Macaca fascicularis: one gene and its partner. Each later gene encodes a partner of the first gene's protein in a complex. Links are inferred from orthologs where the notes say so. Each region holds a gene or a part of one and is shown in the gene's direction. Other genes may lie near its edges.

Region 1 (6,440 bases):
CCACTTACTAGCTGTGTGATCTTAGATAAGTTTCTTAACCTCTCTCAGTTTTCTCATTAATAAAATGGGAACAAGAGTAGTACTTCCTGGGTATAACTATTAGAGGACTCAGTGAATTAAAATATATCAAGGAATCCAGTACAGTGGCTCATGCCTGTAATCCCAGCACTTTGGGAGGCTGAGGCAGGCAGATCACCTGAGGTCAGGAGGTCAAGACCAGCCTGGCCAACATAGTGAAACCCCATCTCTACTAAAAACACAAAAATTAGCCAGGCATGGTGGCGGTTGCCTATAATCTCAGCTACTTGGGAGGCTGAGGCAGTAGAATCACTTGAACCCGGGAGGCAGAGGTTGCAATGAGCCAAGATGGCGCCACTGCACTTCAGCTTGGGTGACAGAGCAAGTCTCCGCGTAAAAATAAAATAAAATAGAAAAGAATAAAGTAAGGTAAAGTAAAAAGTAAACTAAAATAAAATATATCAAGGACTACGCCTGATACATACCAAGAACCATAGAGTGTTAGCTATTATCACTAACAAGAACTACTCTGTGCCAGGCACTATGCCGGGCTTGTTTTGTGCATCAAGTCATTTAATCTGCACTGAGACCCTATGAGGTAGGAACTTTTATCATCATTTCCACTTTACAGATGAGGAAACTGAGGCTCAGATGTTGACCTACCAAAGGTCACCCAGCCTGTAAGTAGCAAAGCCAGGATTTGAACCCAGGCTTCTGGCTCCAGGGCCTGCATTCTTTTCACCTTCATTCCACCATTTCCCACCGTCTCCAGGCCCAGCCCTGACCAGACTCCATGCCATGGCCCGAGACCCTCACAGCCTCTGGGTGGGCTGGGAGCCCCCCAGTCCATGGCCTCGGGGCTATGTGATTGAGTGGGGCCTGAGCCCCCCCAGCACGAGCAATAGCAACAAGACCTGGAGGATGGAACAGAACGGGAGCGCCACGGGGTTTCTGCTGCAGGGTAAGGCTGGCCTGGAAAGTTGGGCAGGGCCAGGGACAAAGGGAGGCAGTGCTTGTCTGACAATAGGCATGGGGCAACCTGAACTGCCCAAGAGACATGGATTCTCCAGCCTTTCTTGATCCTTCACTGTTCTCATTTCATATCCTCATAATCAGGAAGTTCTCCTATAGTCCAACCTGATCCTTTTTCTATAGCCCTGACCCTGCCACCCTTCTAGCTCTCTCTTCTACTTTTCTTCCCTAATTTTCATCAAATGATCTAAAGAAGATTGGCGGAGGTTAACCCTGAATCATGAGCCCAGGTTAGCCCTGACTAGAGGTCTGAGGCTAGCTCCGGATCATTAGCACAGGTTAGCTCCTAACAGGAATGCCTACCTCATTTTCTTTCTACAGAGAACATCAGGCCCTTTCAGCTCTATGAGATCACTGTGACTCCCTTGTACCAGGACGCCATGGGACCCTCCCAGCATGTCTATGCCTACTCCCAAGAAATGGGTTCGTCAACCATCAGGCCCCTTTCCAGAATCCTCTCCTCTCTCTCCCAAGGCTCTGCCTGGTCCCCAGCAATCAGCAGTATAGGGAACATTGCCTTCTTACCATACTTCCGGCCCTGGAGAGCATCTCTCCCAATCCCCTGGCTTAACACTGGATCCCTACAGCTGGACAGAAATCAGGTGCTGTGATAGAAATTGAGTAGAGAGTTGGCACAATTCAAGGAGCAAACCTGGCAAAAATCAATCCATTTCCCAGACAAAAATAAGGTGTTATATGTAACAGAAATTGGACAGAGGGGCCGGATGCAGTGGCTCACACCTGTAATCCTAACACTCTGAGAGGCCAGGGCAGGCAGATCCCCTGAGCTCAAGAGTTTGAGACCAGCCTGGGCAACCTTGTCTCTACAGAAAAATAAATAAATAAATCAACCAGCCAATCAACCAAAAATTAGCTGGGTGCAGTGGTGTGTGCCTGTAACCCCAGCTACTTGAGAGGCTGAGGTGGGAGGATCGGATTGCTTGAGCCCAGGAGGTCGAGGCTGTAGTGAGCCAAGATGGCACCACTGTACTCCAGCCTGGGTGACAGAGCGAGACCCTGTCTCAAAAACAAAAGCAAAAGAAATTGGACAGAGGACCTGGCATAAATTCGGAGAGTGAGTGGCAGAAATCAGAGAGTAAATCAGATGAAATCAGGCCTGGTAGAAATCAGAAAGTGAGGCTCCAGAGTCAAGCAGAGCCAGGTTCAAATCCTGGCTTAGATACTTATTAGCAGTAGGTGGAATCTGGATTAAATCCCTGGGAAAATGAGGCTTGGGCATGAGTCCCCTTGGACTCTTTTCTCACCCACCCCACAGTGCCTGAGAAGCTACAAGAAGTCCAATCGGGCTCTTGCTCTGCCCCACTCCCTTCAGCCCCTGCACCTCTCTCTTCCCACAGCCCCCCGCCATGCCCCAGAGCTGCATCTAAAGCACATTGGCAAGACCTGGGCACAGCTGGAGTGGGTGCCTGAGCCCCCTGAGCTGGGGAAGAGCCCCCTTACCCACTACACCATCTTCTGGACCAATGCTCAAAACCAGTCGTTCTGTGAGTCTATCCTCAGTTCCCCACAGCCCCAGAAGGCCCGGGAGGGGGTGCTCAGCCGCCATGGAGGCAGCTTCAGCATCCAGGCCTACACTGACCGTACACCCCTCCCAGCCACCATCCTGAATGCCTCTTCCCGTGGCTTTGTCCTCCATGGCCTGGAGCCCGCCAGTCTGTATCACATTCACCTCATGGCTGCCAGCCAGGCCGGCGCCACCAATGGTACAGTCCTCACCCTGATGACCTTGATCCCAGGTAAGGGGAGACGAGGGCTGGGCAGAGATGGCTATTGGAAGGGTACCCCACCCAAAGGATGCTGATTTTGAGAGTAGATGGGGACTGACTTTGAATCCCCTGGTCGGAGGGAGGAGACCCAGCCTTCCCCACATGCATTCTAACTTCTTCTGGCCCTGCCCTCACTGCAGAGGGATCCGAGCTACACATCCTCCTGGGCCTGTTCGGCCTCCTGCTCTTGCTCTCCTGCCTCTGTGGAACTGCCTGGCTCTGCTGCAGCCCCAGGTGAGTCCCTTTGAGAGACCTGAGATCCTGCCTCCCCCACCCACAGGGAACCTCAGGTCCAGGTGGGCCCATCTAAGTCCCTTCCAACCTTCCCAAACTTTAGGGCCCATGTCTGAGAGTCCCAGCCCCCAGCTTCTTCTCTCTGCACTAAGGGCAGCTGCATCTCTTCAGGTGGGATGGGTGGGACAAAGGATGGAAAGATTGGAGGGTATGTCTGACCCAGCCTCCCCCTGCCCTCCTCTCCAGCAGGAAGAATCCCCTCTGGCCAAGTGTCCCAGACCCAGCTCACAGCAGCCTGGGCTCCTGGGTGCCCACTATCATGGAAGAGGTGAGAATCCAGGAGGGAGCGGGAAATGAGGTGGGGATGTCAGCCCAGGCTCAGTGAAGGGACACCTTCTGAAGCCAAGTACTCAGGCCTTCCTGTCACTTCCGGCAACACCCCCTCCCTTTGGCGTGAAGCAGACCCAAGTTTGAATCCCAGCTCTGTCCATCTCAAAGCCTCAGCCACCTCCCTGTGATATGGAAAAACTGACCATGCTGAGCCTGAACGGTGCATGGCATGTGTCAGGCATGTGTGAGGAACATACCAGTGCTTTGCAAGTGGAACCCTTTGTGTTCCAGCAGTAACAGCAGGAATGTCCCCACAACTGCCTGGACCTAGACAGGGACGGTGGCTGGGGCAGACATCTGAAAGGAGCCGTGCCCTCACCCCACATCCTTGTGTGCAGGAGGCCTTCCAGCTGCCTGGCCTGGGCATGCCACCCATCACCAAGCTCACAGTGCTGGAGGAGGACGAGAAGAAGCCACTGCCCTGGGAGTCCCATAACAGCTCAGAGACCTGTGGCCTCCCCACTCTGGTCCAGACCTATGTGCTCCAGGGGGACCTAAGAGCAGCTTCCGCCCAGCCCCAATCCCAGTCTGGCACCAGCAATCAGGTCCTCTACGGGCAGCTGCTGGGCAGCCCCACAAGCCCAGGGCCAGGGCACTATCTCCGCTGCGACTCCACTCAGCCCCTCTTGGCGGGCCTCACCCCCAGCCCCAAGTCCTATGAGAACCTCTGGTTCCAGGCCAGCCCCCTGGGGACCCTGGTAACCCCAGCCCCAAGCCAGGAGGACGACTGTGTCTTTGGGCCACTGCTCGACTTCCCCCTCCTGCAGGGGATCCGAGTCCATGGGGTGGAGGGGCTGGAAAGCTTCTAGGGCTTCCTGGGGTTCCCTTCTTGGGCCTGCCTCTTAAAGGCCTGAGCTAGCTGGAGGAGAGGGGAGGGTCCAGAAGCCCATGACTAAAAACTACCCCAGCCCAGGTTCTCCCCATCTCCAGCCACCAGCATCCCCTCTCCCGCCAGTCTCCATAGGCTGGGCCTCCCAGGCAATCTTCATACTTTAAGGACCAGATCATGCTCCATCCGGCCCCACCCAATGGCCTTTTGTACTTGTTTCCTATAACTTCAGTATTGTAAACTAGCTTTTGGTTTGGAGTTTTTGTTATTGTTTATAGACACTCTTGGGTGTACCTGAGTCTCTGCTATTTATTTTTCAGGGCCCAGCAGTCAGGGGGAAACTTCTCAGAGTTGGTCCTTCCCCCCTCCCTCCCTGCCTTCCCCCCTCCCTCCCTGCCTTCCCCCCTCCCTTCCTTCCTCCCTTCCCCCTTCCCTTCCTTCCTCCCTTTTCCTTCTTTCCTCCCTTTCCCTTCCTTCCTTCCTTTCCCTTCCTTCCTTCTGCTAGCTCTCAGCATCTAGGCCCTATGCAAATGACTCAGCTCAGTTCACCCTCAGAGGGCTCCATTCTAGTGGTGGGGACTTGAAAACTGATCCTTAGTGCACAGTGGCATGGGTTACATGGGGGGAGTGACAGAGTGAGGTGGGACACGGTGAAGAGACTTTGGAAAAAACTAACCCCTGTTGGGGAAATATAATTTAAGACAAAATCCCCTGCCAATCCAGAAAACCTCTTCACAAGGGTAGAAAAGCAAGAAAACAGTATTATTGAATAAGCATTAAACCAGAATGTGATACACTGGTGATCCACTAAAGAGACTGCAAAGAGAGAAAAATCTTACCCTTTCATGTAGCCAAGTGAATACAATTTATTGTATCCATTTTCTCAAGATAAACAATAACTGGTCCTCAAGCAAGAGGACTTGGCGGCACCCACTCTAAATTTACCTGGTGGCCGGGCGCGGTGGCTCAAGCCTGTAATCCCAGCACTTTGGGAGGCCAAGATGGGCGGATCACGAGGTCAGGAGATCAAGACCATCCTGGCTAACACAGTGAAACCCCGTCTCTACTAAATATACAAAAAACTAGCCGGGCGAGGTGGCGGGCGCCTGTAGTCCCAGCTACTCGGGAGGCTGAGGCAGGAGAATGGCGGGAACCCGGGAGGCGGAGCTTGTAGTGAGCCGAGATCCGGCCACTGCACTCCAGCCTTGGCGACAGAGTGAGACTCCGTCTCAAAAAAAAAAAAAAAAAATTTTTACCTGGTAAGTGGGAAGCCACCTGTGTCTGCTAATTGCCTTTATCCAAAGGAAATATCTATTTCCCCTATCTTTATGACAAGGGGTAGGTTGCAACTAAGAGCTAGGCACCAACTGAAGTTAGGCTCCTACCCTCCCACAGGAACTAAGAGAGAGAGCACTATCCTCCTTAATTATTACATTTCAAAGAGTTGGCTCCCAGGTCCTTGAGAAAAACATTCCGGGGTTGTAAAACTGGCAAGAGGTTTATTTACCTTTTTATTTATTTTTGTTGTTGTTGTTGAGACGGAGTCTTGCTCTGTCGCCCAGGCTGGAGTGCAGTGGCCGGATCTCAGCTCATTGCAAGCTCCGCCTCCCGGGTTTACGCCATTCTCCTGCCTCAGCCTCCCAAGTAGCTGGGACTACAGGCACCCGCCACCTCGCCCGGCTAGTTTTTTGTATTTTTTAGTAGAGATGGGGTTTCACTGTGTTCGCCAGGATGGTCTCGATCTCCTGACCTTGTGATCCGCCCGTCTCGGCCTCCCAAAGTGCTGGGATTACAGGCTTGAGCCACCGCGCCCGGCCTATTTACCTTTTAAGCAGTAGAAAAAGTATTCACAATTACAAGTTTTCTAAAGTAAATGCTTTCAGAAAAGTGAGAAGAAGGAGTCTTTTCCCTTTTTGCTCCAGGGAAAATTAAATTCTCTTTTTCTTCTAATTTGTATTCACCCTTACACCACTGTTTCACAAATAACATCACCGTTAAGATTTACTAAATGCTCACTATATACCATGTGCTCTGCATACAACTGCCTCAGTTAATCCTCTCAACAACCTAAAGGAGAGATATTGTTATTACTACCCCTACAGGGCCCACAAAGGTTAAGTGACTTGCCCACAAGATCACACGTTGAGTAA
Region 2 (7,052 bases), on another chromosome or scaffold:
CAGGAAAGTAGTATCACAGAAACAGCAGGGGCTTGAGAAGATGATCTAACTGCAAATCCTACCTGGTTCAGCCACCAGGTAGTTCTGTGATCTTGAACAAGTTTTTTCACTTCTCCAAGGCCCTCCCTTGGCTACAATCCACCAGTTGGTTGTACACCTGTAATCCTAGCACTTTGGGAGGTCAAGGTGGGTGGATGGCTTGAGCCCAGGAGTTTGAGACCAGCCTGGGCAACCTGGTGAAACCCTCTCTCTGCAAAAAAAAAAAAAAAAAAATTAGCCGAGCGTGGTGGTCCGTGCCTGTGGTCCCAGCTACTCAGGAGGCTCAAGTGGGAGGATCACTGGAGCCCAGAAGGTGGAGACTGCGGTGAGCTGTGATTGCACCGCGGCACTCCAGGCTGGGGGACAGAGTGAGACCCTGTTTCCCCCCACAAATAAAATGGACAAAAGTGTAATAAAACGTGCCTGACACAGTGGCTCATGACTGTAATCCCAGCACTTTGGGAGGCCGAAGCGGGCAGATCACCTAAGGTCAGGAGTTCAAGACCAGCCTGACCAACATGGAGAAATCCCATCTCTACTAAAAATGCAAAATTAGCCGGCTGTGGTGGCGGTGGTGGCACATGCCTGTAATCCAAGCTACTCAGGAGGCTGAGGCAGGAGAATTGCTTGAACCCGGAGGCAGAGGTTGCAGTAAGCTGAGATCATGCCATTGCACTCCAGCCACTCCAGCCTGGGCAACAAGAGCCAAACTCTGTCTTTAAAAAAAAAAAGTGCCTGACGTATAAGAGGTATGCGATGCAATAGTTGCCAGGCAACATGTTTAAGAATGTGGAGCTTCTGCCTTACATGGTCCTGTTAAAAAACCTACCCTCAAGGCCAGGGGCCGTGGCTCATGCCTGTAATCCCAGCACTTTGGGAGGCTGAGGTGGGTGGATCACCTGAGGTCAGGAGTTTGAGATCAGCCTGACCAACATGGTGAAATCCCACCTCTACTAAAAATACAAAATTAGATGAACATGGTGGTGCATGCCTGTAATCCCAGCTACTTGGGAGGCTGAGGCAGGAAAATCACTTGAACCAGGGAGGCAGAGGTTGTAGTGAGCCGAGATTGTGCCATTGCACTCCAGCCTGGGCAACGAGCAAAACTCAGTCTCAAAAAAACAAACAAACAACAAAAACAACAGCAACAAAATCCCACCCTCTACTCCCAGGGAGCTGGGCACTGAACTGGGCCCCATCACTGCAAGGTGCTGAGCCACGGAGCTGAGGCGGAGCTGCAGGACAGGGGACCAGATGACAGCGTGTGAGATCAGCAGGTGATGTCCCTGCCAGTGGTGACCACCAGGGGGCCCCCAAGTACCAGAGATGGCCCCACCTAGTCACCACGTCCACCATCCAGAGATGTCTGTTTCTTGGCAGGCTGAGGTAAATTAGGACAGAAAGTGACAGTCTTGGGTGTGGTCAGTCAGACTGTCCCAGGCAGGCCCCGTGGCCTGTAGAAAATGCTCAGGCCTAGGCCGGGCGCGGTGGCTCACGCCTGTAATCCCAGCACTTTGGGAGGCCAAGACGGGCGGATCACGAGGTCACCAGATCGAGACCATCCTGACTAACACGGTGAAACCCTGTCTCTACTAAAAATACAAACAATTAGCCGGGTGTGGTGGCGGGCGCTACTCGGGAGGCTGAGGCAGGAGAATGGCGTGAACCTGGGAGGCGGAGCTTACAGTGAGCCGAGATTGCACCACTGCACTCCAGCCTAGGCGACAGAGCGAGACTCCATCTGGAGACAAAAAAAAATGAAAAAGAAAATGTTCAGGCCTAAGCCAGGGGCCCGGGCTGTAATTCTGTCGCTTACCATGACCTTGGGCAAAGCTACTTCCTTCCCTGGCACAGTTCACAGGGCTGGAACCAACTCCAAGGTCCCTTCCAGCATGAATGTTGCATGGTTCTAGGATGAGAAGATGGGGACAGTTTCCCCTCTCTCAGGCCAACCCATGTCCACTTCAAGGTGAATGGCCAGGGAAGTCACGTGTCCCAACCCCCCAGTTCCAAAGCCCTTGGGGACCCTGCTGTCAGGGTCGTGCATGAGGAGGTGAAGGTCAGGTGAAAAAATCGCCTCGAAGGGTCTTGCCTCATTTGGGACAGACATCCGGTTTCCTCTGGGCTCTACCGGGATTCCAGGGGCTTAACTGAATGAGTCATGGGGTCAGGGGGGTTTCTGGGGGAGTTCCCAGCTAATCAGCTTGGGTCAGGACAGCCTGGAACTTTCGATGGTGCCTATCCAAGTGTGGGGTGGGCACTGCAGCCAAGACCCAATGTCCTTATCTCAGGTAGGGGCCCTCAGGAGGTCACCCAGACAGGCAGCCTCTGGAGAGTTTGGGGGTAGGAATGGGGGCAACCAGTTTCTCTCTTAGAATGTGGGGGCTCTGGGGACAGGCTTGAGAATCCCAAAGGAGAGGGGCAAAGACACTGCCCCCGCAAGTCTGCCAGAGCAGAGGGAGACCCCACTCAGCCGCCACTTCCCCACAGGCTGCTGCCGCCTCCAGGCATCTACCAGCGGCTCAGCCTTTGTTCAGCTGTTCTGTTCAAACACCCTGGGACCATTCAGGCCTGGGTGGGGCAGCGGGAGGAAGGGAGTTTGAGGGGGGCAAGGCGACGTCAAAGAAGTATCAGAGATTCCACAATTTCACAAAACTTTCGCAAACAGCTTTTTGTTCCAACCCCCCTGCATTGTCTTGGACATCAAATTTGCATAAATCCTGGGAAGTTATTACTAAGTCTTAGTCGTGGCCCCAGGTAATTTCCTCCCAGGCCTCCGTGGCGTTATGTATAAAGGCCCCCCTGGAGCTGGGCCCCAAAACAGCCCGGAGCCTGCAGCCCAGCCCCACCCAGACCCATGGCTATACCTGCCGCCCAGAGCCCCATGAAGCTGATGGGTGAGTTTCTTGGCCCAGAATGGGAGAGCTGCCCGCCCTGGCATGGGAGGGAGGCTGGTGTGACAGAGGGGCTGGGGATCCCCGTTCTGGGAATGGGGATTAAAGGCACCCAGTGTCCCCGAGAGGGCCTCAGGTGGTAGGGAACAGCATGTCTCCTGAGCCTGCTCTGTCCCCAGCCCTGCAGCTGCTGCTGTGGCACAGCGCACTCTGGACAGTGCAGGAAGCCACCCCCCTGGGCCCTGCCAGCTCCCTGCCCCAGAGCTTCCTGCTCAAGTGCTTAGAGCAAGTAAGGAAGATCCAGGGCGACGGTGCCGCGCTGCAGGAGAAGTTGGTGAGTGAGGCGGGCGAGAGGGCTGTGGAGGGAAGCCCAGTGGGGAGAGCTAAGGGGGATGGAACTGTGGGCCGACATCCTCAGGAAGGGATGTGGGAGAATATTAGGAGCGGTGGAGCTGGGGAAGGCTGGGAAGGGACTTGGGGAGGAGGACCTTGGTGGGGACAGTGCTCGGGAGGGCTGGCTGGGATGGGAGTGGAGGCATCACATTCAGGACAAGAGCCGCTGTGAGATCAGAGGGTGGGGGTGCAGGGCAGAGAGGAACTGAACAGCCTGGCAAGACATGGAGGGAGGGGAAAGACCAGAGAATCAGAGAGGACCAGGGAAGGAGGAGCGGCGACCTGGCCACGGCGAGTCTCACTCTGCATCCTTCCATCCCCAGTGTGCCACCTACAAGCTGTGCCACCCTGAGGAGCTGGTGCTGCTTAGACACTCTCTGGGCATCCCCTGGGCTCCCCTGAGCAGCTGCCCCAGCCAGGCCCTGCAGCTGGTGAGTGTCAGGAAAGGATAAGGCTGATGAGGAGGGGAAAGGAAAGGAGGGACACCCATGGGCTCCCCCAGGTCTCCAGGCTCCAAGCCGGGGGCCTGATGGGAGGGTCTCAGGCAGCACCCCCTAACTCTTCCGCTCTGTCTCCCAGACAGGCTGCTTGAGCCAACTCCATAGCAGCCTCTTCCTCTACCAGGGCCTCCTGCAGGCCCTGGAAGGGATCTCCCCTGAGTTGGGCCCCACCTTGGATACACTGCAGCTGGACATTGCCGACTTTGCCACCACCATCTGGCAGCAGGTGAGCCTTGTTGGGCAGGGTTGCCAAGGTCATGCTGGCATTCTGGGCACCGCAGCCGGGCCTGTCAGCCCCCAGCATTTCCTCATTTGTAATAACACCCACTCAGCAGGGCCCAGCCACTGATCGCAGCTTTCCTTTACAGATGGAAGACCTGGGAATGGCCCCTGCCCTGCAGCCCACCCAGGGTGCCATGCCAGCCTTCACCTCTGCCTTCCAGCGCCGGGCGGGAGGCGTCCTGGTTGCCTCCCATCTGCAGCGCTTCCTGGAGCTAGCGTACCGCGTTCTACGCCACCTTGCCCAGTCCTGAGCCAAGCCCTCCCCATCCCATGTATTTATCTCTATTTAATATTTATGCCTATTTAAGCCTCATATTTAAAGACAGGGAAGAGCAGAACAAAGCCCCAGGCCTCTGTGTCCTTCCCTGCATTTCTGAGTTTCATTCTCCTGCCTGTAGCAGTGAGAAAAGCTCCTGTCCTCCCATCCCCTGGACTGGGAGGTAGATAGGTAAATACCAAGTATTTATTACTGTGACTGCTCCCCAGCCCTGGCTCTGCAGTGGGCACTGGGATGAGCCACAGTAAGCCCCTGGTCCCGAGGGTCCCCACCTGGGGCCCTTGGGAGTATCAGGTCTCCCACGTGGGAGACAAGAAATCCCTGTTTAATATTTAAACAGCAGTGTTCCCCATCTGGGTCCTTGCACCCCTCACTCTGGCCTCAGCCGACTGCACAGCAACCCCTCCATCCCTTTGGGTGTGAGGTCCCTGGACAAGCAGAGGCAGCCAGAGCTGGGAAGCATGGCCCTGGGGTCCCACGAACTTGCTGGGGAATCTCGTTTTTCTTCTTAAGACTTTTGGGACATGGTTTGACTCCCCGCATGAGGAACTCAGGCATCACCGACGTGTCTCCTGTTTTTCTGGGTGCCCTCGGGACACCTGCCCTGCCCCCATGAGGGTCAAGACTATGACTCTTTTTAGGGCTGGGCAGGTGCCTGGACATTTGCCTTGCTGGACGGGGACTGGGGATGTGGGAGGGAGCAGACAGGAGGAATGATGTCAGACGTGTGTGTGAAAGGAAGCTCGACTGTCACCCTCCACCTCTTCACCCCCGACTCACCAGTGTCCCCTCCACTGTCGCATTGTAACCAAACTTCAGGATAATAAAGTGTTTGCCTCCAGTCATGTCCTTCCTCCTTCTTGAGTCCAGCTGGTGCCTGGTCAGGGGCTGGGAAGGTGGCTGAAGGGTGGGAGAGGCCTGAGGGAGGTCGGGGAGGAGGTCCAGGGAGAAGGGGGAAGGTTCTCAAGTTCGTCTGACATTCATTCCATTAGCACGTGTTTATCTGAGCACCCACTCTGTGCAGACGCTGGGCTAAGTGCTGGGGACACAGCAGGGAACAAGGCAGACGTGGAATGAGCAGCCACAGCCGCGCAGGGAAGACAGAGGCACTGGGACCATGGGAACCCGGAAAGGAGAGCACATGGGGTCCAGGTGGGCTTAACAGGCCAGACACAGTCAGACAAGATGAAGCCAGGGAGTGCTGAGCATCTGTACCAGGCTTGTCACTTACCATCTTCCATAAACTTGAGCCCATCCATCAAGTTGGAGTTTCTCTCCTCCTCAGGCTCAGTCTCTGCACTTGCCCCAGCTGGTGCAGCAGCCCCGTAAGCTGAAGAGCGCTAAGCTCACAGCACAGGAGGGTGTGGAGCTGTGGCAAGTACGGGGGCCAGCGACCACACTGCAGGTGTGAGGCCTGCCTGCAGCCAAAGACTCCTGTGTGGCTTTGGGGTACCCCCACCAGCCCCCAGTCCACTATCTGCCCAAGCCTTGTCCTCCTCAGCTCCTCGGTCCCTCCCACCTCCCCAGCCCGTGGCTCCTCGGAAAGCAGGGTCAGAAGTGTCCACTGCCAGGCTCGGAGACGTGTGAGGCAGGCAAGGAAGGGTTAAAGAAAGGTCCGGCCCTCATCCCCCCGCCTCCCATCCCCCAGTCCTTTTTTGGAGGCAACAGACCAAATCCCAGGCTAGTCAGAGTGTGGGTAGGGTTGGGCCAGGTTCGGGAGAAAGCAGAGCAGGCCACCCTGCCCCAGCACTGTGGGGCCCTGAGCCAAAGCCTCTCCCCTTTCAGGGTACAGCTGGCTTTGCGGGAGGGGCAGCAGGCCGGCCAACTTGGCTCCAAGGAAGGGAAGCTGCTTTCCCCTGGCCCTTCCTCAGCTGAGCAAGTCCACATAGGACCCTAAGCCCTGCCACCTCTGCACCTCTTCCTCCTCCTCCTCACCACAGGAGTGCGCTTTCCCCGGCCACAGCACAGGCAGTCCAGGGAGAGAGCACTGTGCCCCGCCCCGGGTGACACTGATACCAACAGCACCCACAGTCGCAAAGGGATCCACGAGGAGCTTTATTTACACATGAACAAAGGTAGATTTCCCTCACATATTACAAAATATATACACACACACACACACACACACACACACACACACACACACTCTCTGCGTCTAGAAAGTTCCTCAGAAGTAAGATTACCCCTGGGCTGGGGCGGGCGCACACAGGGGTGACCACTGGGCTTGTGGTCCAGGCTGCTCACACTCCTCAGGTGCTGGCAGACAGAGAAGAAATTTCAAAAGAGGAAACCAGGAGACATCCTGGAGGTCAGGAGTCAGAAGCGGGGAATTAGAAGCTGCCAGAGGCTCTTGCACCATGTGGAGCGGATGTGAGCCACGATGCCTCATCTTTCCTCACTGCTTCCCTTGGAGGCACCTGGGGCTGTGCCAGTCCCCAGCCCCCAGCCCCCACTGCGGCCATGCCAAGCTCCTCAGAGTGCAGCAATGGCTTTAGCAGCCACCTGGCGGCCCAGGGGCAGGCTGAGGTCCGTGATGGCCAGAACCACCTTGGGGCTGGACATGGCTGACACCTTCACCAGTTCCGACACCTGCCACAGACAGAGATGCTGCTTGCTGGATGGCTGGTGGTGGGCGTGCTGTCCCAGGGGAAGGAGGCCCCTCCCTGC

What was found.
Region 2: the proteins of CSF3R (region 1) and CSF3 are in contact, whole or in part, in a crystal structure (PDB 2D9Q), measured with the Homo sapiens proteins. The link is inferred for Macaca fascicularis from reciprocal best matches to the Homo sapiens genes CSF3R and CSF3. Residues at the interface, in NP_000751.1 of Homo sapiens: Arg164, Arg190, Lys191, Leu193, Leu194, Leu195, Tyr196, Gln197, Asp220, Met222, His261, Ile262, Asn263, Arg311, Pro313, Leu314; in NP_000750.1 of Homo sapiens: Ser42, Leu45, Lys46, Glu49, Gln50, Arg52, Lys53, Leu141, Asp142, Asp145, Thr148, Thr149, Gln152.

The regions. Positions count from the first base shown.
Region 1 is NC_088375.1:198,451,749-198,458,188, forward strand, and holds the end of CSF3R (granulocyte colony-stimulating factor receptor), read left to right. Parts: intron 1-649; exon of another isoform or gene 650-698; intron 699-790; coding exon 791-979; intron 980-1,371; coding exon 1,372-1,473; intron 1,474-2,408; coding exon 2,409-2,555; intron 2,556-2,666; coding exon 2,667-2,807; intron 2,808-2,977; coding exon 2,978-3,071; intron 3,072-3,317; coding exon 3,318-3,399; intron 3,400-3,692; coding exon of another isoform or gene 3,693-3,698; exon of another isoform or gene 3,699-3,799; coding exon 3,800-4,270; 3' UTR 4,271-4,534; downstream 4,535-6,440. UniProt on the Homo sapiens protein: Receptor for granulocyte colony-stimulating factor (CSF3), essential for granulocytic maturation. Plays a crucial role in the proliferation, differentiation and survival of cells along the neutrophilic lineage.
Region 2 is NC_088390.1:61,075,256-61,082,307, forward strand, and holds CSF3 (granulocyte colony-stimulating factor), read left to right. Parts: upstream 1-2,861; 5' UTR 2,862-2,896; coding exon 2,897-2,936; intron 2,937-3,112; coding exon 3,113-3,267; intron 3,268-3,649; coding exon 3,650-3,757; intron 3,758-3,905; coding exon 3,906-4,052; intron 4,053-4,194; coding exon 4,195-4,359; 3' UTR 4,360-5,226; downstream 5,227-7,052. Other genes in the region: MED24 (mediator of RNA polymerase II transcription subunit 24), read right to left, coding at 6,858-6,974. UniProt on the Homo sapiens protein: Granulocyte/macrophage colony-stimulating factors are cytokines that act in hematopoiesis by controlling the production, differentiation, and function of 2 related white cell populations of the blood, the granulocytes and the monocytes-macrophages.